Linked DNA regions of Tribolium castaneum. The protein of the gene in region 2 purifies or fractionates together with the protein of the main gene of each other region. This does not show direct contact. Links are inferred from orthologs where the notes say so. Each region holds a gene or a part of one and is shown on either strand. Other genes may lie near its edges.

What was found.
Region 1: the proteins of selenoprotein S (region 2) and Der-2 purify together in Homo sapiens (affinity purification with western blotting; 3 studies listed by BioGRID and IntAct, with this or other methods). This does not show direct contact. The link is inferred for Tribolium castaneum from reciprocal best matches to the Homo sapiens genes SELENOS and DERL2.
Region 3: the proteins of selenoprotein S (region 2) and Der-1 purify together in Homo sapiens (affinity purification with western blotting; 6 studies listed by BioGRID and IntAct, with this or other methods). This does not show direct contact. The link is inferred for Tribolium castaneum from reciprocal best matches to the Homo sapiens genes SELENOS and DERL1.

Annotation. Positions count from the first base shown.
Region 1 is NC_087399.1:2,162,482-2,169,679, reverse strand, and holds Der-2 (derlin-2), read left to right. Parts: upstream 1-4,025; 5' UTR 4,026-4,167; coding exon 4,168-4,260; intron 4,261-4,311; coding exon 4,312-4,545; intron 4,546-4,604; coding exon 4,605-4,891; intron 4,892-4,937; coding exon 4,938-5,061; 3' UTR 5,062-5,138; downstream 5,139-7,198. Other genes in the region: rdgBbeta (cytoplasmic phosphatidylinositol transfer protein 1), read right to left, coding at 2,168-2,389, 2,440-2,694, 2,745-2,816, 3,410-3,506, 3,557-3,705, 3,753-3,803.
Region 2 is NC_087394.1:30,815,917-30,823,163, forward strand, and holds selenoprotein S, read left to right. Parts: upstream 1-4,304; 5' UTR 4,305-4,433; coding exon 4,434-4,491; intron 4,492-4,547; coding exon 4,548-4,694; intron 4,695-4,742; coding exon 4,743-4,946; intron 4,947-4,994; coding exon 4,995-5,083; 3' UTR 5,084-5,306; downstream 5,307-7,247. Other genes in the region: uncharacterized protein LOC662435, read left to right, coding at 1-206, 253-395, 445-591, 639-892, 942-1,109, 1,162-1,331; Ns4 (guanine nucleotide-binding protein-like 1), read right to left, coding at 1,382-1,629, 2,193-2,417, 2,466-2,975, 3,025-3,235, 3,286-3,426, 3,475-3,806, 3,856-3,943; Nulp1 (ribosome quality control complex subunit TCF25), read right to left, coding at 5,345-5,534, 5,596-5,774, 5,821-6,070, 6,121-6,534, 6,641-7,051, 7,100-7,247. UniProt on the Homo sapiens protein: Involved in the degradation process of misfolded endoplasmic reticulum (ER) luminal proteins. Participates in the transfer of misfolded proteins from the ER to the cytosol, where they are destroyed by the proteasome in a ubiquitin-dependent manner.
Region 3 is NC_087396.1:17,556,947-17,564,536, forward strand, and holds Der-1 (derlin-1), read right to left. Parts: upstream 3,250-7,590; 5' UTR 3,044-3,249; intron 2,982-3,043; 5' UTR 2,976-2,981; coding exon 2,622-2,975; intron 2,575-2,621; coding exon 2,170-2,574; 3' UTR 2,061-2,169; downstream 1-2,060. Other genes in the region: Dlc90F (dynein light chain Tctex-type), read right to left, coding at 1,365-1,727; solute carrier family 9 member C1-like, read left to right, coding at 6,235-6,393, 6,437-6,668, 6,716-7,018, 7,065-7,590. UniProt on the Homo sapiens protein: Functional component of endoplasmic reticulum-associated degradation (ERAD) for misfolded lumenal proteins. Forms homotetramers which encircle a large channel traversing the endoplasmic reticulum (ER) membrane.

The DNA of each region.
Region 1 (7,198 bases), on a different chromosome or scaffold from region 2:
TCATCACTTGTTTTATTTGTGCAAGACTCTGTGAATTTTTAGTTTTAATAAATAGTTGTTACGAGTAGCCCGTTTTTTATTACAAATTATCAAAAAATACATAATTATTAAAATTTTTATTTTATCTTCAAAAAATTTAACAATGAATAAAACGTCGTTTTTGTGAAGGTAAGTCACTTGACCTATAAAATTTCAAGCAAAAAAAATTAAGAATTTTAAATCTCGTGAAGAGCTCGTATATTACGTGCTATAACTTGAAGAAATAAAAATTATTTTCTCAATTACGGCTAAACGATTCGAAAAAGTGGAACTATTTTAATCCTTGCCCATGCAAAATGATCCGAGGAATCGATTGGCGTTGAGAAAAATACCAAATTCCCAATAGTTTTTTAGTTATGAATTTTTAAAACTTTACAAATTTTTGCATTTATCTGCAATTTTCTCGAAAACCATTACTCGGCGAACAAACATCTTTTTTTAAAAAGATAGATAATTTAAAGAGCTTTCCATTGATAATACACTTCGTATGGTTATCTCTAATAGTTCCGGAGTTATTGCTCGATAAATAATCCCGGTACCGAAAAATGACCAAAACCGTGACAAAAATTGAAAAAATCGAACAACTCGACTTATTTTGAACTTTTATCAACTCTAGAGGGATGTAAAAGCATATGTAAGTCCAAAAAACTATAATAGAACGAGTTTAAAAAAATATATTTTTTTCACTATCTTGAAGGTAAGTAAGCGTATTACTCAGGAAATTTTAGCAGAAAAAAACAAAATTTTAAATTTTGTGAAAAGTTGGTATAATACAGAAAATGAGCCGCTGAATTCACTGGAACAAACGGTTTTGCTTTACGACTTTTAGTTTTTGAGTTATGATTTTTTTTGTTGAATAAAATTTTGCGTTAACTTTTTTAAATTCTTATTTTTTTAATTACGGCTGAACTATTCGAAAAAGTAGAACTATTTTTATCCTTACCCATGCAAAATGATGCGGGGAATCGATTGGCATCGGCAAAATTGCCAAATTCTTAATAGTTTTTTAGTTATAAATTTTTTAATATTTTACCAATTTTTGCATTTATCTGCAATTTTTTCGAAAACTATTAGTCGGAGAACAATATTTTTTTTTGAAAAAAATAGACAATTTAAAGAGCTTTCCAACGATAATACACTTCACAGGGTTATCTCTAATAGTTCCGCAGTTATTGCTCGATAAATGTTCCGGGTACCCGAAATCGACCAAAATCTCGACAAAAATTGAAAAAAGCAAACATAAAAACATTTGAACATATAGACTTTTTTTGGACTTTTAACAACTCTATTGGGTTGTAAAGGCATATAAAAATTCATTTTATCAGCCAAAACAAGTTTCAATTTTTTAGTGTAGGCAACCAAATATACACTCCGAGCAAAATAGTGCACAAAAATGCTTTTCTGTAAATTGCTTTGCATATTTTTATTTATTTCAATTAATGATAAAGTTATTTTACCGCAAGTAAACTGCGGAAAATAAAGCATCTCAATTTTTGGACTTCATACGGGGGCAGTAGTTTCCTTAATACTTTTTTGTCTTTGTCTTTACCACAATCCTTACACTCAATGCGTTAGGATAAGGGGATTTTATAAAAAATTAAAAATTCACCTTTAACAGTCGATTACTTTAATTTTTGACCTGCCCTCGTATGAAGCATTTCAGCCGAATTTTGTTTCCAAACGAACAAACACGACACTGTGACACAAATTAAACCAAAAATTTGTTTTTTTGTTGAGTAGAGATAACCTTGTGACTTAACTATGTCTCACAATTTTATCGCCCAAATGCAAATTATTGTAAATTTGGGTCAGAAAAAAAATCCAATTTTCCGTGTGAAATTTTATTTTTCCAACAATACAACGTAGGTATTAATCACGATAAACGAGGAAGTTGGAGACAAAAATCCCCTTTACACAACTATTCTCACTTCTACACTACATACATACAAAAAATTGAGGAGAAACGCCCTGGTCCAGAGTGCACCTAAAATTCGTTAAATAAAAATTTCCTAAACGTCAAGCGATAACAAATGACGCAGACATTTGACTAGTTAAACAAAAGCAACTAAACATGAAGTAACAAAAAAAGAACAAAAACGCAACAATCCTCTAACGTAACCTCCTGATGCTAGAACCACGAAAAATAGCCCTTTTTCTGGGGCGACTTGGGGCTTTTGGGGGACTCCTGGGCGGCTGTATCGCCGCCCCCGACCTTATCAGCAAGCAGCGAATTGGTCTGAGATTGCAACTTCGCCTCGTATTCACGCACATCCTGCAACGACATTTCTATCCATTCGTCAATCCACGCAAAGGCTTGCCTGTGCCCCAGCAACAGCACCTCGCGAATACACTAAAAAAATTGTTTAACAACCAAAAGTTTGCCAAAACGAGTGCGCGCACCGAATGGATAAAATCCTCGACTTTCGTCTGGAGGCCAAAAACCTCAAACGAGGCATTTACTAATTTATACGAACACATGATTGGGGTGTAGTTAGCCCGCCAGCCCTCCACCAGGGGCCCCCTTTGCGTTTTTTTCGACTGGAAAAAACGCGGGTCCTCTTCCTCTTTGTAGTGTTTGGGGCTCACTTCATCGTAGGCTATGTCAATGTGGTCGACTAGGCGTTCGGCAAGTTGTTCAGGAGTTAAATTAAGACACTAAATTTTTTTATTTAAAAAAAATAATTGCAATTTATTTTTTGACTCACGTTTTCGGTACTGCCGTTGTTATTCTCATATTTGGTTTTAATTTCAATGTGAAAACGTGGAATAAATGAGCACTACAAATAAATAATAAAAAATATATAAAAAATATACCGGGTGTTTCAGTTTGGGAATTTAACCCTTGTAATTTTTTTATTAAATAAAGTAAAATACCATATTTCTATTTTTAACGGTTTAGGCATAAATTGACTTTACAATGCAATAATGGCGTCATTAACGGAACTATCGAGGACAGAAACGTTTTATTAGTAGGCTGTTTTATATCCTAACCTTTAGATATCCGTAGACATGAATTTATTATAAAAGGAGTGCCAAAAAAATAGTATTTTGTTTAAGTTAGTAAATAAAAGTATATAATATATATTTTTTTATTTAAAATAATCTATATTTTTTTAATTATTTACCAATTCTTTGTCACATGTTTAAAATTATAAATAATGGTGCAAAAAATTATACAAGGAACCAATGAAAAAAAATTGACAGTCACCGTTTTGACGAATGTCACCATACAGCCAACTTGATGATTTTATTCAATATATTTTGTCAATCCAACCAAAAATATAAACGACTTGTACACTTTTTTACAAAAATAAAAAAGTTACAAAGGTGCGCATAAAAAACCGAAACACCCGGTATATTTGGGCCGTACCGTATATTCTGTGATAGTGTACGGGTAATAATTCCACGCTTTCTCCGTCACGTAAAATATCTTAGGTATAATGGCCTGCACCCAGTAAGGCAAACGGCTACAAAAACTCATTACCTAACGCTCTAATTCGCTAATTCTTAATCAAACCTTGATAAGTGAATTCTTTTTTCGGTAAACTGGCCTTTGCCATGCTCCGGGTCGTCAATTTCCCGATTTTCAACCACTTCAACCCCTTCGCCATCCCCCGACTGCTCCAAACTGTGCCTCGCGATCATGTACAGTTGCCCCACTTGATACTTTCATAAAACCAAGTCAAGTAAAGCACTAAATGACCACAACTCACCTCTTCGACCGTAATCGGCATACAAATTCGGTATTCTTTAGTCAAAACCATCGCAAAAAATGGTTTTATTTTTTGGAAAAATTTGACAGTATGGTTAAACAAAACGTAGCGCGTGCGCACAGTCCCGCCAACTTAAACAAACCAGGCTCATTTTTAGTTAAACAAAGGCACAATTGGAAGTGTAAACACGGAATTTTTCTGAAATAGACCATCGGGGATTTGTTTATTTGAAACGAATTTATTAATTTCGCCGAATTTACGACTTGGGTACCAATCGTGCCGAAACGAAGTTACTAGCGCCGGGAGAGAAATGTCAACAATGTCAAATTTTGACAAGATAATTTCAAGCACTGATGTGGCTTTCAAAATCTGATTTTTGGCTTAAAATGGACATGTCGTGATAGTTAGCCCGAAAATGGCTTATCAGACGTTACGAAACGAATACCTGCACATGCCCCCCGTGACCCGGGCGTACACAACGGCATGTGTGATAACAACGCTGGCTGTTGTAAGTTATATTTTTTTGGGGGGTTTTTTGTTAAAATTTGTTTCATTCAAGCAATTGGAACTGGCGTCGCCCTTCCAGCTGTACTTCAACCCCATCCTGATCCTGAAACAGGGGCAGTTATGGCGGCTAGTCACCACATTCCTATTTTTTGGAACGTTCGGTTTCAATTTCTTCTTCAACATGATTTTCACTTATAGGTACTGTAGGATGCTTGAGGAGGGCTCGTTCCGGAACAGGACGGCCGACTTTGTGATGATGTTCCTGTTCGGGGGCGTGTGTATGATTGTATCCTTTCAAAAAGCGCGCCGTTTTTAACGTCAAAAGCTGGCCTTAACGCCGACTAGATTTTTGCGTTCTTTGTTAACTTATTATTTCTGGGACAAGCGTTCACAATAATGCTGGTTTACGTGTGGTCGCGGCGCAATCCGTACGTTAGGATGAACTTTTTCGGCCTTTTGAACTTCCAAGCTCCTTACTTGCCTTGGGTTTTACTGGGCTTCTCGCTCTTGTTGGGAAATGCGGTCTATGTCGACTTGATGGGGATAGCCGTGGGACATATTTATTATTTTATAGAGGATGTTTTTCCAAACCAAAGAGGGGGTTTTAGGATACTTAAAACGCCGCATTTTATGTAAGGATTGGGCGTTTTTCGGGTTAGTTTTAATAGATTCTTGCAGGCGTACGCTATTTGACGAAATACCTGAAGACCCGGACTATGCCCCGCCTCCTGAGGAGCGGCCCGGGGGGTTCGATTGGGGCAACCAGAACCAGGAGGTGAATCCCCAAGAGAATCGGCAGTGATACCAACCCTAGCCAGTGTACAATACCCCCAAAAATTAATTTGTAATACTTGTTTATTAATAAAAGAATCTATCGAAGCTACGAGTATTTTTTGCATACCCTACAAAATTGATAACTGATAAGCGGGAAAATTAAATACCGACATTTCACAATAATTAATTTCGTTTCATTAAACGTTTGGAAAAATTTTGAAAGATTGCTTCGTAATATCGTAAAACCATAAAATTAAGGCGGTACATTTTTTTTGACTACAGTAATCTCCAAATGCAGCAAATACGGACGTCAAAAAAAATAAATGCTGCGCGAAAGTCCAAAAAGTACTTTTGAAATAAGTATTCTAATTAAAAAAATCATTGGAATCCCATTAATTACAGATTAATTTCAATAAATAAATTTATTGGCAAGCATTAGGTGTTACTACGCAGATTAATGACTACGTCAAACAATTAACATAAAACGAATAATGATAATTAGAGATATCAGTGAATTTATGAAGTACTTAAAACTATATTTTTTTATTACGTAATTTTTGCACTGCACGTCTTTTGAACTGTTTTATAGCAGATTAGATGTTAATGCATTATACATAATATACAGAATGTCTCAAAACTGGCGAGTTCCAAGTTTAGTGCATTATAAAGAATCACTTCAGAAGTCTAAATAATTATAAAAAAATTAAAGATTTGTACAAATACATTGGTTTGAATGTATTTTTTTCAAAAGCAGGCCAAAGGTTTGAGAGTTTATTGTCATTTATGGTGTAAATTATTGTGGAGAAAAAAAGTAAAGCAGTTTAAAAAAAAAATTTATTTTGAAGTAATTTAATTTTTAATTTTAGTAATTTACTGTTTTATTTTCATTTTATCAATTATTTTTCTTTTCTATTTTTCTGTCTGATTTATTTATTTATTTATTTATTTAGGTTAAATTCAAATGAGGTGACTCTTTTATTTTTGCTATAAAATATTCATCAATTACGTCTTTGGATTTTTTTTCTATTGTATCTTCTTTCCTTTTTGATTTTTTAATGTATTATTTTCATCATATTTTTCCACTTCTTTTTGTCTATCCATTGTTTTGTTCTGTTTTAGAAAACTAACTAGAATTTTTGATTTTCTGAGTTTTTTTGAGTAAATATTTTTGAAAAATTTCAAATTATTTAGAAATTTTAAGAACTTAAAAAAACATATAGTACCAACTATTTTTTTTTAATTAAACAAAAAATATAATTTTGAAAGATTGCATTTAATAAAAAAACTGTTAATTTTTTGCGGTTTTTTTGATATCTCGACAATTTTGGTCGCCATTAAGGCCAAATTTCTTAGGAATTTTTTGGTGGCTCTCTTATTACCAACTTTAAAGTTGGTGCACATCACTCTGTATATAACTGAATATAAACAAGATTATATGTGATAAGATTATTCGTTCATATCTGTTGAGAAAAAGTTAGTTTTATGCACCGACAAAAATGGTGGATGCGCCGGGATAATTTGTAAATCTTTCTTTTCTATTTCAAATCAGCTAATTCAATCAACAGGAAGACTAATTCCAGAGTTAACGGGTTTTTTTCGACAATTTTTTTATAAATAAGTGACTGTTTGACTCAAATAAGGAAAAAAATCATTCATAAATAAGTGGCTGAAATATCGGAATTCTGGTGATTTTTTGCAAAACCGGAGAAAACAAAGCCTATAACTCGTCCAATTTAATTACCACAATCAGCTATCAAATGTGTGACAACTTTCAAATTCAATTAAACCCCCATAATGAACTTCCCGTCCTCATTAATAAAAACGCAACTTTGCGTGTATCATTCTCTTCTTTTTCCACAAGCAATTCAAACTTGGACGAATTGTCCACTTCCCCAATTTCCCCTATTTTTATTCCTTTTCCGTCCATAAATTCACCCTCGGACGACTCCTCCATCGATTCTGGCATTCGCCCCAAAGACTCAACCCCCGCAAAAACTCGATCAATTTTTCATCACATTTCGTCTCCGGCTATTAAAATGCGCTGATTTTCGTATCGGTTAATTACGACCGGAAACTCCGGTGGACACGTGATCCGGGGTTGCCCGGCAACCCGGAGTCTGCACAGACACGGCCGCCTCACCGATTTACGCGAAATAGAGCGTCCG
Region 2 (7,247 bases):
ACGGCTTCAGCCAAAGCAAATGCTTCCTGGGCGCTACCAAACTGGGACAACTCGCCACGGAATACTTGGACGACAGGAGACAAGAATACGACACTTTGGAAAAGATTATAATCAAAGATATGACCACTCGTAAGACTGACATTCGCGTTTTGCAAGAACACATTGACCGTGCGACTGCTAGCATTAAGCTGTTGTTGCGAAAAGATGTAATTTGTTTGGTATTAAAACCCTCCGACTGTTTAGATTTTCTAGAGCGACCTCACAACATGTGCTAAAAGTATCAGGGATTCCGCCAGCATGGAAAATCTGCGGCGAGATGTGGGCCAGGTTGAAAAAACCCTTGTCTATCTTAAAAACACAACGCTGGCACGGTCTTATGATACGATATATCCTTGGTGAGAATGAAAGATTTGTTTCTTGTTTTTGCTAATGACAATATTCAAGTCTGGAAGAACAGCTCAAGCAAAAACGGCGTCTGAAGCGCCTGACAAAAAAATGTGAACGCGATAGAGACATCATGTTGAACAAAACCAACCACGCTAATTTAATGAACTCGGTTTTGAAGAATACGATGAATGAGACAACTGTCGAGTAATTTTTACATTACAAATGAATTTTTGATAAAGTTGAAATTCCAGATACAGAGCAAGGAAGACGGAATTAAAGGATGAAGTGGAGAGACTCAGGAGTGAAAAAAAAAGATATGCAAAACTGCTACAAATCAAGCGAACAATAGCTGCAAATATTCGCATAGGTTTGCGGCAACTTTTACAAGTCTCGTATGAACTGTCGGATGAAACTAAGAAAAAACCTGCTCCTAGCTCACACCCTTTTGGTGTTTTGGCCGAGAGGAAGGACAAACCACAGGAAATTGTCGAAGATGAAATCGACGGTTACTTGAGGGTTATTTTTGTATAAATGTAACTAAATCAGTGTTTTAGGATCAAAAATTGTGCCAATTTTGGTGGCCAAATTCACTCCCTTAATGTCACACTACTTTGCGCTCAAACACGAGCCAAAGTCCGATGAGGCTTTTCGAAATATTGAATCAATGATGCAGGAGCGAATGATTCTGGCAGACCAGTCTGAGGCACCCCTGAGTGAAGCTTGTAATTGCACAAAACGCAAACACGGATGCGTTCATTTAATTGTTAATTGTAGCCTTGTTGGAGGGTTTATATGTTGAAGCCAGTGAGCAACTGACAAGGGAGGATATTAAAAAACAGAGTCAGGAAATCGTTGCAGCGAATACGAAAAACGAAGATTTAGTTCCACTAATTGTCGTTCCGTTCAACAAGTGGAAGAAAATGCAAAAGCAGCAAAAAAATTAATGGGATTTAATGATAAATTATTAATAAAAATACTCAACATCGTGGTTGTTTCAATCGTCGTCTGCCAACGCTGCAAATTTATTGTGGGCGTAATTCGTCGGCTCTTCATCTGAGTCAGTTTCTTCGTCTTCGCTTTCTTCACTGCTTCGGTCTTTGTGGTCACCGGAGGAGCCCGGGACGTTGTCTTCATCTGAAGCATCAGAGAGGTAGTCTTTGTCGTCTGCGAGCTGAGTGGAATCGTCAGATTTGGCCTGAATCCACTTCACTTTCTCGATCTCCGGGTGTGAGGCCCAATAATCTAACAAATAAAACATAACGCAGTTTCAATTTCTTTTCAACCAGCGTTTGCCCGGAATTTTCATGATTTTCTTATTAGCTAGATCTTGGACAAAAATCAGTGATTCACGTATGCCTTCTAAACATATTCCAAATGTTATTCAACTGAAAACCTTTTATTTTATCTTTTATGTCAAGAGATAAATAAAGACAACTTTTTGTATTGGTTACATGCTGATGAGCAGGATTCTGAATCATATTTGATACGAGTTTGTAAGACAGGCACATAAACGTACAAAGTAATCAAAAATCTTTACATATAGCCACAAAATTAAAAATTATTAAACAACTATTAAACTTGGGAGTTTCAAGTTTTAATGCTAGTCAAAAAATACTTCCAGTTACCCCAAAAAAATTATATCGCAACGATAGAATTTATTATGAGGAAACGATTGCAATTTTCTTCAAAAACTACATTTTTCAATTAAAATATTCCGTATGTTCCAAACGAAGTCAAATGAAATAAAAAAAAGAAGCAATGAGACATCTTATACAAAAAATAACGTTGTTCGACATGTCAACTACCTTTTTTATTTGAGTACTTGGGTGGCCTGAGACACAGGCAAATTTTCCCGTCCAAAGCCATCCTCAGTAAATCATTTGCAGCTCTGTAGCTGTCCAACCTGGCGGCTTTGGCTGTCAGGAAACCCCGTTTTTTGGCCCAGCCATCACAAATGTCCATGGCACACCAAGTATCGTCATTTTCTGGATGTTCAATCCTCAGCATATTTGGTAGATCCATACGTTCCGCTATAAAAAATTCTCAAAACTCACAAGAACAAAAATTAAAAACAATACCTAAATACTTTATCGTTGTGAACGGCTCCCTAAGTTGGGCGATGGGGAAACTCCCCATCAAAACCTGTATAACCTTTGGTGTTTTCGACGGAAAGACTAGACCAGGACAGTCGCACAGCCGCACATTGGGCGTTAAAAAAATTGTTTGGAAGTGTTTCGTATGGCCTGGAGTTCTGGACACGCTGACGACTTTCTTCCCCATGATTGCGTTAATAAGTGACGATTTGCCGACGTTGGGTTGCCCCAAACAGCCGATTGTGAGAATACCGTTTTTGTATTTTTCGTGTTCGAAGTAACTCGTGTCCACTGCTTTCATTTGAACTGTTTCTCCAATTTCAACTTTCTCGTCTTCATCGTTTTCGTATTCCAAATTCATTTCTTCCTTTATTTTGGTTTGCCAAGAACTTATGTCTATATTATCCCCAACTATGGTTTTACAAACTTCAAACAACTGTTGACTCCCTTCTGCAGCCAATCGGAACTTGCCTTTGCGTTTACGGACTTGGAGACCTAAAATTAACAATTAAATCTTGTAATTAATTTATTACACACTACAAACCAGCTCTATTCACTTGGGTGCCAACTAGATTATAGCCAGGGAGTGTGGTAAACATGCAAATGTGCAAATTGGGGTAATTCTCCTCAAAGTATTTTTTCCACGCCACGACTAACGGCGCTGGGGCCAAATCAATTTTATTCAATACTAAAATAAAGTCTTTCTTCAATGTTTCAGTCACGTATTCGTACAAAGATGGGGGAAACATGTGGGCCTACAAAAAGTAATTAAAATTTAATAAAGCAAATTGGGAGGCAGAATTACGGGATATCTGATATCAACAATGTGCAGAACAATATCTGACATTTCGAGAACCCGCCACAACTGCCGCCACGTCTCCAAGTTCAGTTCAAAGAAACTTAACTCTTTCCAATTATACTTTTCCAAGATTCCATTAACATAATCCTGAAATTAACCGATCAGACAAAATAATGTTAATGACAATAACCGTACATTAAAATATTTGGTTTCGCGTGCTTCGAGCTGTTCAGTCGTGAGCTCATATGACCACGGGGGCCTTCGAGGAAAACCCAAGTCTTTGGGAAAATAGTCATTTGAGTCAATTTCCAGCTCTTTCTCAGAGACAGGTTCTATGGTTTTGCAAGCCTCTTCTTTACGTGCTTTGAGCTCAGAGGGAGTCTCGCGGTAAAACTGCAAGGCATAACGGTTGCGGTCTCGCCCGTCCTTAGGGGGACAGTAATTGAATTTTTGAATTTGGGGCTGATCCTCACTATCACCGGCACTGGTCTTCAACAAAGGCCGCCGGTTTCGGGAACCAAAACCTTCTAAAGTGGTTACAATTAGAACAGTTTTCTGCAAAAAATAAGAGGGTACCTTGAGGGGCGTTCTGTTTGGACTGTTTTTTGGCCTTTAGCTGCTCTTTCTTGGCTTTGCCACTGAACGGTTTCTTGCGCTGAGGCATTTTACTTACTGTGCTGTGAACCTGACCTTAAATTTTTAACAGTTTTAAACATTAATTAACACAATTACAGCAACACTACTTTTTATTTTAAAATCAACGAATTCTAGAAAATCACATGGAAGTTACTAGAATCCCCTAGAACCATAGGACACTTGTCAAATTTCAAATCTCATTTTAAAATTTAAAAAGAGCGAATTTACGTTTTTTGTGTGAATTTTGTAAGCACAAAAACGCAACAACATGTGCTGCATATTTTAATAATAATCATTACAAATTAAATGTAATAATTAACCAGATTAACATTTATTTGTCCAAAAAAACCTTATTAATCAAGAGCGCTTGCGTCAATTTTGATTTGACACGTCAGGTGACATTGACATTATTTTGACAGTTTAATAATTAAATTGTAGTTTGTTGTTAATTATTAAAAATTGCAATTGCATCGTAACAATAATATTGTGGAACATTTATATTGAACAAACTGGGAGCGATGGACGAGTTTGAAGCCTTTGAGCAAGAAAACGGCTTCTGGAATCCACTGAATTCAGGTTAGTCCTTAACGCAAAAAAAGGAAAGTTTTGGTAATTAACATTCGCATTTTTAGTCATTTACATCCTTGAAAATTATGGCTGGTATATGCTAATTGCTTGTATAGCTCTAGTAGTGGTATACCAGAAAACTTTAAAATCTTACATCCAAAAACTTAGGGAATACAAATTTGAGAGAGACTATGCGGCTAAATACCACAAGAGTAAGTTACTTTACGAAATTTAGATCGTTTTAACTGGTTTGGCCCCAGATCCCGATGTTTTTGCTGCACATGTCAGTGCCCAACAACAGTGGGCCCAGAAACTCCAAGAAAAATATAACAAAGAATCTGAAGAATATCAAAGAAAAATGAAAGAAAAGGAGGAGAAAAAGCGAGAGGAGCTTAAAAGGAAGTATGAGACTTCTGGGGGTCACGTTTTGGGTAGGAAAGATGATACGAGTAATTTGCGACCAGGTGAGTGTAACACTTGCTGAGTCATGATTTATTGATTCGTTACTGTAGGATATAACCCACTGATGGGCGCTGGAAGTTCGTCCAATTATCGCCCACCTAGGAGAAGTCCTTGTGGAGGCGGAGGATGTGGCAGATAAGACTATCACTTTTAAATAATTAAACTACACAATTATAAATTATTTTTTTAATATTACACTATTGTTGGGCTTTACTTAATTAATTAATTACGAATCTATACTAGAATTAATAATTTAATAACATAACTGAAACTACAAAACGGACAGATTATCAATTTATTTGGTTATATCATAATTGTAATAATAAACATTTTTAGAATATAGCAACAATAAGGAAATAAAAGGTTTAGTGTTTTCTTCACTAGCGAATTAGACTAATTATTAGGTAAGGTCGTCGTAATCTTCGTCAACATCAGCGTCGTTCGGTACTTCCATTTCTGGGGGCCTTATGTTGTTCAACAAGTCTCTCATTGCCCCAACCAATGATACGACACTTCGTCTAAAATCTCCAGCGTCATTGTTTGCGTTTTCGTAAACCGGAAGAGCTGCAGCGCCATCTTCCTCTCTCGGTCTACAAAAAAATTCCACTCTGCTAACTGTGGCTGCGAAAACAACCCAAAAAATGGACTTACGGGTCCAAAAGATTTGGTGGAATCTGATTGGGATTAAAGTTGGGCAAAATCGACCTGAAGAAAATACTTAAAGGAATGGAACTATTATTTGAGACTGTTGGCCGTTTTGGCTTGGTGTAGATGTTGATGGAGTCTTGAGGGGGCAAAGGATCGAACCCTAAGACAGGTCCGCTGAAATCCTGGAATAACAATTAATCCCATGTGTGGTTTTGCACAAAAAATTACATCAGTGATTGGTGTTAGATCCTTGATGTCTGAGAGCAGAATATGTCTCGCTATGCTCCTTGGCAGGGAGCCTTGGTACCTTTTGGCCCGTTTCGTCTCATAATCCTTCACAACTGGGTCATTTTTATCAACTCGATCCAACACTGCGTGCACATTGCGTTCCAGCCAGTGCATCAAATCGCTGTCTTTCCACACATGGTAACACCTACTCACATACAACTGGATCAGCTGTGTCAGAGCGGCCGATTGTCTAAAACACACCCAATATACCCATCTGTTTACATATCACTCATCAATTACTTGTTTTCGTTAACTGAGAAGAATTTGTGCGTCATTACCCTGTTGTCAATTTGCACTGAGCATTTTTCAAGTAAAGGCATGAGTACGCCGGGGAACATTAACAACGCGTTCTGAAGCAAACTGTCGGCTTTGGCCGTTTCGCCGTTCGATGTGTGGAAATGGGCCACGGCTGTTGAGAAAGCAAAGTTTGGGAGTTGGGACAAGTTCTTTGCTGTCTCCCATTCGTCAGCAAAGTCAATCAGCCAGTTGTACTCGCGGGCACGTAAAGCATAAAAGTCAATTGCTAGTTTAATGGCAAGGGGGTCGCCGTCGGGGTCCAGCGAAAGGAGAAGCTTGCAGAACTCGAGGGCCGTTCGACAGCAAGCGCGGCCCCCGACGAAAGTCAGGTGCTTGAAGATTGTTATGTATAAAGCCCTGGAACGTAGGAAAAAACTTTCGATTACAATGCAAAATTTTACAGTAAATTACCAGGCGTTTAAATATAGTAATCTTTTTATTAAAATTTAAAACAAAAATGTACCTGTTTTCCTGCCTTCTGTAGTCCAGCCTGCAGTTTCCTTGCGCAACATTGAAAAGAGGGTGAAAAGCGCACTCCAGGCAATAGAGCGCCCTTTCAATAAACTCAGCTGCCATTGCCAGATCCTCGCTCAATTTACACAAATCTGACAACTGTATCAGGGCATCAATGTGGTAAGGGTGGTCATTAATAATTGCAACAATATTATCAGGATTTAGACTTTCAACTGACTCAAGAAACCTGTTCTGTATCTGGCGGTAACTCTGACTGTGTTCGTAGGTAAAATATTGAATCCCCTGTTTATTTTCGAGCAAGTTCATGGAAAGTCCCGACTTGCCCACTTGGGGCCACGTATCTTTACCACTTACTAGCCACGTTGTCTTTGTATGTCCCCTCCCTCTGTTTTTTCTTTTGCTACAAGAAGAAAGTCAGAAGATCGGGCTTTAAGTGACTATTACCTACTGTTCAGCTTGGATAATTTTTGAGCCAAATATCTTTTTCAATTCATTGTTCGGGTTCAAATGTTTATGTTGCACGGACAGAATGTTCTTATTGTGGACATTTTTCTCGTGCTTGGTGTTGAATGGAGGAGCTGAGGTGGTTTTAGGCA
Region 3 (7,590 bases), on a different chromosome or scaffold from region 2:
CACGAACTTATAATAAATAAATACGACGAAAGTCTGTTTACGTTCGTTTATTGACATTTGCGAGTGACTTTTTTATTAGTGACATTGACATCCACTGTAGCCAATCGTAGAAAAACTTGAAATGGGTTTATGGCGCGAATTTCTATTTCTATTATTAACACCAACGTCGCATTTTCCCTCGAAATTAACTGTTCTAAATTATTCATGCCCTTCAAAAAATTAATAGCTAATGTAATTTATACAATCTGTCTATAAATGAATGTAGGATCGTAGTAGGTTTCAGAAGTTTGCCGTTTTGTTCAAGAAAAAACGAACAATGTTAGTTTTACTGGTACTTTTCAGAAATTTGATAGTAATAAAATAATTAAATGCGGCAAATTTAAATTACAGAACCACCTGAGAGCCAACACTCTTTTATAAACAGTCCGTAGTTTCAATGAGGGATCTAATCTTTAATAACTATTTTACATTTTTATACAGCTTAATTAAAAAGCAACGTCACATTTTACCGAATTATCTTTTTACATAAGACTGATAAAACTGTAAAATAGTTATGAATGCTAAGATCTCTCATTGAAAGAAGAAATTGTATTAGCTATTTATTAGCTTTGTTCGCGGAGGATTTTTAGAACTAATTCTGAAGTAGTCCAGGATTTATTTACAGCGCATGTGCGGTTCTGAACCAGTTATGGATTTTAGTCAACCGCAAACGATAATTTATCGTTGTCAAGTACACAACAAATGTTTAAAAACTAACAAGCTACAAAAATTTGAACAAAGTTAGAAATGAGTTATTCGAAAAACCTAAAACGAAAAGGTATAAATTGTAGAAAACAACCCATTTTCAAATTTACAAACATTATTTTATATACAAATAATTACGATTTAGTAAAGTATTAACTAAATTCCGGTAATCAAAACAGACAGTTTATTTATATTGATTCCAATCTCAAAAATATTCAAAGACATGAGAGTAACAGAGACAAAACCGCTTTCAACTGCGCACGTCTAGAACTAAAAATCCTTCGTCGAGTCCCAGGATCGTTGGGACTAATTCTGAACCGATCCGGGATTCAGCGTACTAGAGCTGGAACTAGTTCAGGATCGCTACCGCGAACAAAGCTGTTATTTTTTTGAAATGCATGAATAATATAACAGCTAATTTTGAGAGAGAATGCGACGTTGGCGTTTTTATATTTTTGAAACAGCTAACAACTGTAGTTTCAAATGTAAATAATATGACAAAATCCAAATAAAAAAATGACTTTATTAATACGTAACAATCACTATCAAGTAGAAACTTATAAATACGATAAATTATTCTTGAAAGGCAAATCCATGACTGTAATTACTTGTTGAAATATTTAAATAGCTAATCCATATACTGATACAATGCAGAACATGGTCTTGTTCTCCCAACGCACGGTGCAGCTCCCATCCGTGTTATTATCCCAATAGCACGAACTAGCGGTGTGCAAACCGGCCCCGTTCTTCTGCATTATGGTACAGGTCACGATGTACTTGTATGGTTTCATCAATTTCGTCAATTCTGATGTGCAACATTCCACGACCGAAGTCGTCCAGTCATTGACTTTATTTTGGGAATATGCGTTGCCTCCTATCACAGTTTCTATCGCGTCTTTAATGATCTTACTCACATCGTCGACCACGAACTGGCCCTCCTCTTGCAGATCTTGGTCCAACACTTCTTGATTCGTTTTCTCCATGATACTAAAATTCTTCAAGTTAATTCTTGGAAAATACACTGTATGGTTTGTAATCTCACTGATATTTCGCCTCAAGCGGCGCAGGAATGACAACAAACTCACCCCTTTCAAAAGAGGAAACGTCAAAAGTGACAAGGCGTGGTAATACCAACCTAACAAAACGTCACCGATATCATAAAAAAATTTCTATTAATCACGCAACGAAATTTTTTATATAAAACTGTCTCATAAATAAATGTTGAAATAAAATCAATATCCAGTTGCTGGAATTTATACATTATCTACCAAACATTTAGATAAACACTATTACCAACCAATGCGACAAAAACACTAAACGTTCCAGAATTTTATTAAAACATTAATAAAACAAAAGCACTTAAATTGTAGTAGTAATTAAATCTTTAATTAAATATACTTAATAAAATGAACCACAATTACAGATTTAGTTCCCGTTAAGGACATGGCCTCGGCCCCAGTTATGCCCCCCGAAAAACCTGCCGCGGGGCTCTTGATTTGGTCTTTGTTGTCTCTGTGGGGGCACCCCAAACCCATGTACACCGCCCACTTGATCCGGGAACCATTGCTTTAGAATGGAGGGGGTTTGTATTAAAGCAGGGCCCCCCAGTTCTTGTGGGTACTTGAACATGAGAAAAAAGTACAAGTGTCCAATTAAAATGCCAATCAGTTCTTGGACACCACCCCCTGATATGACCATGTTAAAGGCCAACAACACCCAAGGGAGGTACATTGCCTTGAAGCGGGTTCCAAACCAGAAATTCACAATCGTGTCTTTGTTAAGCTGACACCAAATGTATAGTACTGAGAGGATCATGGGGTCTAGCAATAACTGGAAAAAAGGGTTATTTCGACTTAAAAGAGTTTTGAAGAACTTACGGGCATTTCAAGAAGCAATCCCACGATGACGCAACAAATCCAGTTGAAAATAAGGAGGAAGAAATAGTCTGCAGGCTTGCCGGCGTAAACACCCTCTTCCAACCTCCTTGAGTAATTATAAAGAAAATATAAATTGATCAGATAGTGAAAGCCGGTGCTTGGATTGAGAGGGTAATACAAGGCTGAAGTCACCAGCCTCCATATTTGGAAGCGTTTTAGGGGCTCTAGGAACAAAACTAAATTGTGAGGCTTCAAGATACCAAAACGTCCCAACAGCGTCAGTCCAACAGTTGATGATAACCAATATCTTGTAAAAATCGGTACATTTCGGTACCAGTCCCCGAAATCAGACATTTCGACCTTAAATACAACGTTTCATTGAACAAAACATAAAGAAATCAAACAAACATAACCTAACTTACTAGCAAATTTGGTAATGCAACTCTCCCAGTATTTATAGTAACACAGTCATAACACCAAGTGGTAGGTTTTAAAAATCATTAATTCCGAAGAAGTGTGAAAAGGATACGTGTTTTCTGGTTCTAAATATTCAATAAATTCGCTAACATGACAAATCAAACTCAGTCAATGGGGCTGTCAATTGTCAAAATTTCCAAATGGGTGACGTAGATGTCAAAAAGGTGATAGGGATTGGTGGTTGCCTAGTTTTACCTTTTTGGCTTCAGGAAACTATCTGCATTTTTGAGATCAAAAAAGTTCCCCAATTTTGATGTCTGTGCTATAATTGACTAATTTAGAGCTAAGATATTTTACTTTAAACCTCAACACGGGGTTTGCAACATAGAATCCAACACATCTTATTTATTAATAGGTACAATTGCAGATTACAGAAAAACTTGTTAAATGGTTTTGTAAAAATCATTTTGTATTTTCCGTTACGTATTAAAACTTACACGCCATGGGTCTAGCCTTTGAAGCACAATTTTGCTCTTAGAACATGATACACAATTTGTTTTTTTGTTATTTCCTTTCGTTAAAAAAAGACCGAGAAAATAAAACTTACTGCACTATGAGCATCGATGAACATATTGAAGTCTTCATATTATTTTTTTTACAAACAAAAGATGAAATCACAAAACATTTTGTACTGTCTGCGCCAATTAAGTTTGTAAAAAGAAGAATAGGTAACTTCACTTGGAACTAAAAGCGATATTCCTGTCCCTGTGCTATCCTTTTTTTTAAGGGGTGTCTTTCCAAGATAAGTGTCCAAAAGTCATTTGCCGTCACATATTTTATATACTCTAGATCAACAGGGTCCATCAGCAGCGCACAATAATTAATAATTTATTTGTCCCTTCGGGTTTTAAACTGATTCTTATGCAAAATTTACAGCTGACTTTGAATCAACTTCGATTTTTTGTTTGGAATTGCCTTCATGATGAAAAAGGCGTTTCCTTGGAAATTTTTGAAGAACTTAAAATTGGTCAAGTTTTGTGTTTACATCGTTATATCTTCCTTCTGGATAAAGCTAGAAACTTCATTTTTTTATAAAAAAAAATCCTCAATGGATGTGGATTGTAACAATTACACACAAGTTTTAGTTTCAACAAAAGAAGACTGAGAAAATAGCAGTTTTCTTGTAACGTTACATATTTGTCTAGTAGAGATGAGAATTTTTTTCTTAAAAGTTAAACCTATGCATAATCATGAAACGAAGCTAACAGCTGAGATAAATTGTTGGTGCAAGAATCATTTCGATATGTTTTATGATTATTTATGACACTCAAGTTATTGCAATTTAAAGTTACTGCCATATGCGCTTGAAGTGGCATTGCCGCGTATTTTCCTTTGTATTGGTAGTGTGTTCTAATTTTCCCATTTTTCTTTTCTCAAAACTGAAACTTAAAAACTACTTATTCACTGAGCATTTATTTCCAAAAAAGAAGTTTCTAACTTTAACCAGAAGGAATTTTTGACTAGTAGACACAAAAATTGACCAATTTTAAGGATTTAAAAAAGTTTCACAATAACGACAAAAACTAACTTCAGATTCTAATTCAGCAACAAAATTGGCATGTGAGAATAAGCGTTCAGTAAACGAGTCTATTACGAAAACCCTATCTGTAAATGTGCGACAATGAATTGAAACAAGCGCATAACTTTATTCCCAACAGTCTACTCGTAATACAGGACCAAAGTCATTTATTTTCTTTTTAACACAATGTTGATGTGAAATAATGCTCAAAAAACAGTTTTCAGGATTTTTTCGGAATTAAATAAAGCACTGATAGATTTTAAAATACTTTCACCCATACAGCCTGAGTAGAACTGTATCCTGTAAATAAGTTTCAAAAAAGTTACTTAAAACTGCTGTGAAACAAGCAGCAAAATTGCTCAAATTCTCCTTAATAAAACAGTGAATTTACGACTAACTAACTAATGCTAGAGTTTTTGTTTCCGTAATTTGCATTACACTGCAATAAATTGTAAAGAATGTTCTTTCTTTCATTTAAATATTTCTGAAGAATTAATTTGTAAAATGTAAGAATCACATTTAAAATTTGTGGCGTGTCCTGAACTTACTAAAGGGTCTACATTCGCCGCTGTAAAACTTTTTTTTAAATAAATAGGTTCAACTTAGGTTTCTTATCACAGCGATTTCGATATGTCGCTGATATTGATAAACTACCATCAGTTGTTCTAATTTTTTCTAATATTCCCATGTTTGCCCGCCAAGATAACACGCACAGATCCAATATAACTAACTTTATCAGAGTTCAACGAAAGCGTCCATAAAAAATGAACAATGGAATCAACTTTTATGAGAAGATTTAAAGTTCAAACCACAAATCGGCTTATCAGAAGCGTTCCACAGACCACACCTATTTGAGAAGATTTAGAAAAATTTCTAAGGGCGCCAAAAGTGATGTCACTAAGATTAGCGAAAAATCTGTTGTTATTTTAATTACTCACATCTGATAACCCGCAGGTAGGAATGCTTTATCTCGTTTATCAAACTTTGCACTTTAATGTTTTTAATGTTGAACTTTAAAACACCTTATTTGTTAAGAGTGTGTCGAGTGTAAAGACGAACATGTTTTGGGATATTTGCTGCTGTCGGCGAGACAAAAATGTTAAAACAGAAGAAAATGCCAACTCAAATTCGGGTAAGTTGCAATGTTTGTGTTTTAATAACTTCTAACTGGGTGTTTGTAGTGAACGAATCTCAAAATACTCAAATTAGCGTTATAAATGTGAACGGCACAGGGGAAAATGGTTCAAATAGTCCCTATCGAGAGCGGACAGGGACGGAATCCAGTGTTTCTAGTATGCATAGCATCAAATCGTATTATAGTGTCAAGTCAACGATGTCGCGAGACGGAGATTTCTACAGTATCTGTAGCGAAGAATCTTTTAAAAGTACTTAGTGGTTCTATGACATTTAAGTTTTCACCTGGACCTTAAAATACGTTTGTTGTATTTTTATTATAATAAATTATTTATAACGACACGCCTTTATTTTTAATCGCCCCATCACTTTTAATTCCGCATACCGACAAAATAAAATAACCATCGACTCGCCCTATCGACGAAATATTTAATTATCAAAAACCTTGGAAACAAACTAATTCCAAGCCAAAAGTCTCACAAAATGTTCCGAAAACTTTCTATCATTATTTTCCTGTTATATTTGGCTCAAATCTTGGCAGAGGACACACCAAAGAAGCGACCTCCTCCAGATTTCTCCGTCAAATACATTTTCATCTTCGGCTGTCTTTTACTGGTAACGAAGACCCGCCACTTCATCATTGTAAGTTTTCCCTACGTTCAGTCAGAGATTTAACCCCAACCAGAACAAAGGAATCCCCGTCCCTTACGCCGCCGTGTGCATGACTTGCGGTGTCCTGTGGGGAGTCGGAACTTGGTACAGTCCTTGGATGGAAGACGTCTCTTTAGTTTGGCCAACTATCATCAATGAATTCGATGTCATCTTCCTTCCGGCAATGGTCTTCAGCACCGCCATCTGCATGGACATTCACACCTTCCTGTATTCTTTTCCCCAAATTTTCGTTATTTCTTTCCCAGGTAGGTACTCGTAAATATCGCATCAATCGTACGACATTTTTAGTCAGTTGCTCTTCTCGCGAGCGCTATGTTTGGGATTTTGATGCGATTGGTGATCGACCGGAAGTGGACAGTGGTCGATAGTCTCTACTTTGGGGCACTAACACAGGCTATCTACCCCACTGAAATGCTCCGCTTATTGAAAGAGTCCGGACATCGCACGAAATGCGTGGCAATTTTGCTTGAAGGGGAGACCCTTCTCTCGGTTTCAATCGCTGTGGCATTCACACAAATGTTGGGGCTCCACATTGGAGGCTGGATTGTCCACTGGTACCAGTGGTTAATGGGGCTGGTGCGGACCGTGGTTGTTGGTCTGTTGGAAATTCTGTTCCTAACTCTGACTAAACCCAGATTTAGCTTTGCCCCTTGGTTACCTCTTTGGAGTTTTTGGAACGTTTCTCATGAAACTTTCGTATACTGACACTTCTGGGCTTTTAATAGTAACAATATCAATGTGCTACATGAGTTATTACATCGTTCAATGGATTTCAAGCGCTGGACTTCCCGCTTGTACCATTTGCGGAATTTTCATGGGCAGAGCGCGAGCAACTCTTTCGAAAGAGAGGGAAGAGTCAATTATTAATTTCTGGAAGATGGTTATTATCATGATGTGCGGGATTCTTTTTGTTGTGGCTGGAGTCATAGCACCGATTACTTTACGAATAAATGTACAAATGAAGGAATATGTCCTAGTCCTGGTCACTTATCTCATGGCGAATGTGACACGATTTCTTAGTTTCTTCTTATTTTCGCCGATTTTGTCAAGAACTGGTTATGGAATGTCGTTCCAAAACATGCTAATTTGTGTTTGGGGAGGCTTAAAAAACCCTCTAATTTTAAATTTAGCAGTAGACTTGACTATGAAAGTCTATGGAGAGAACAG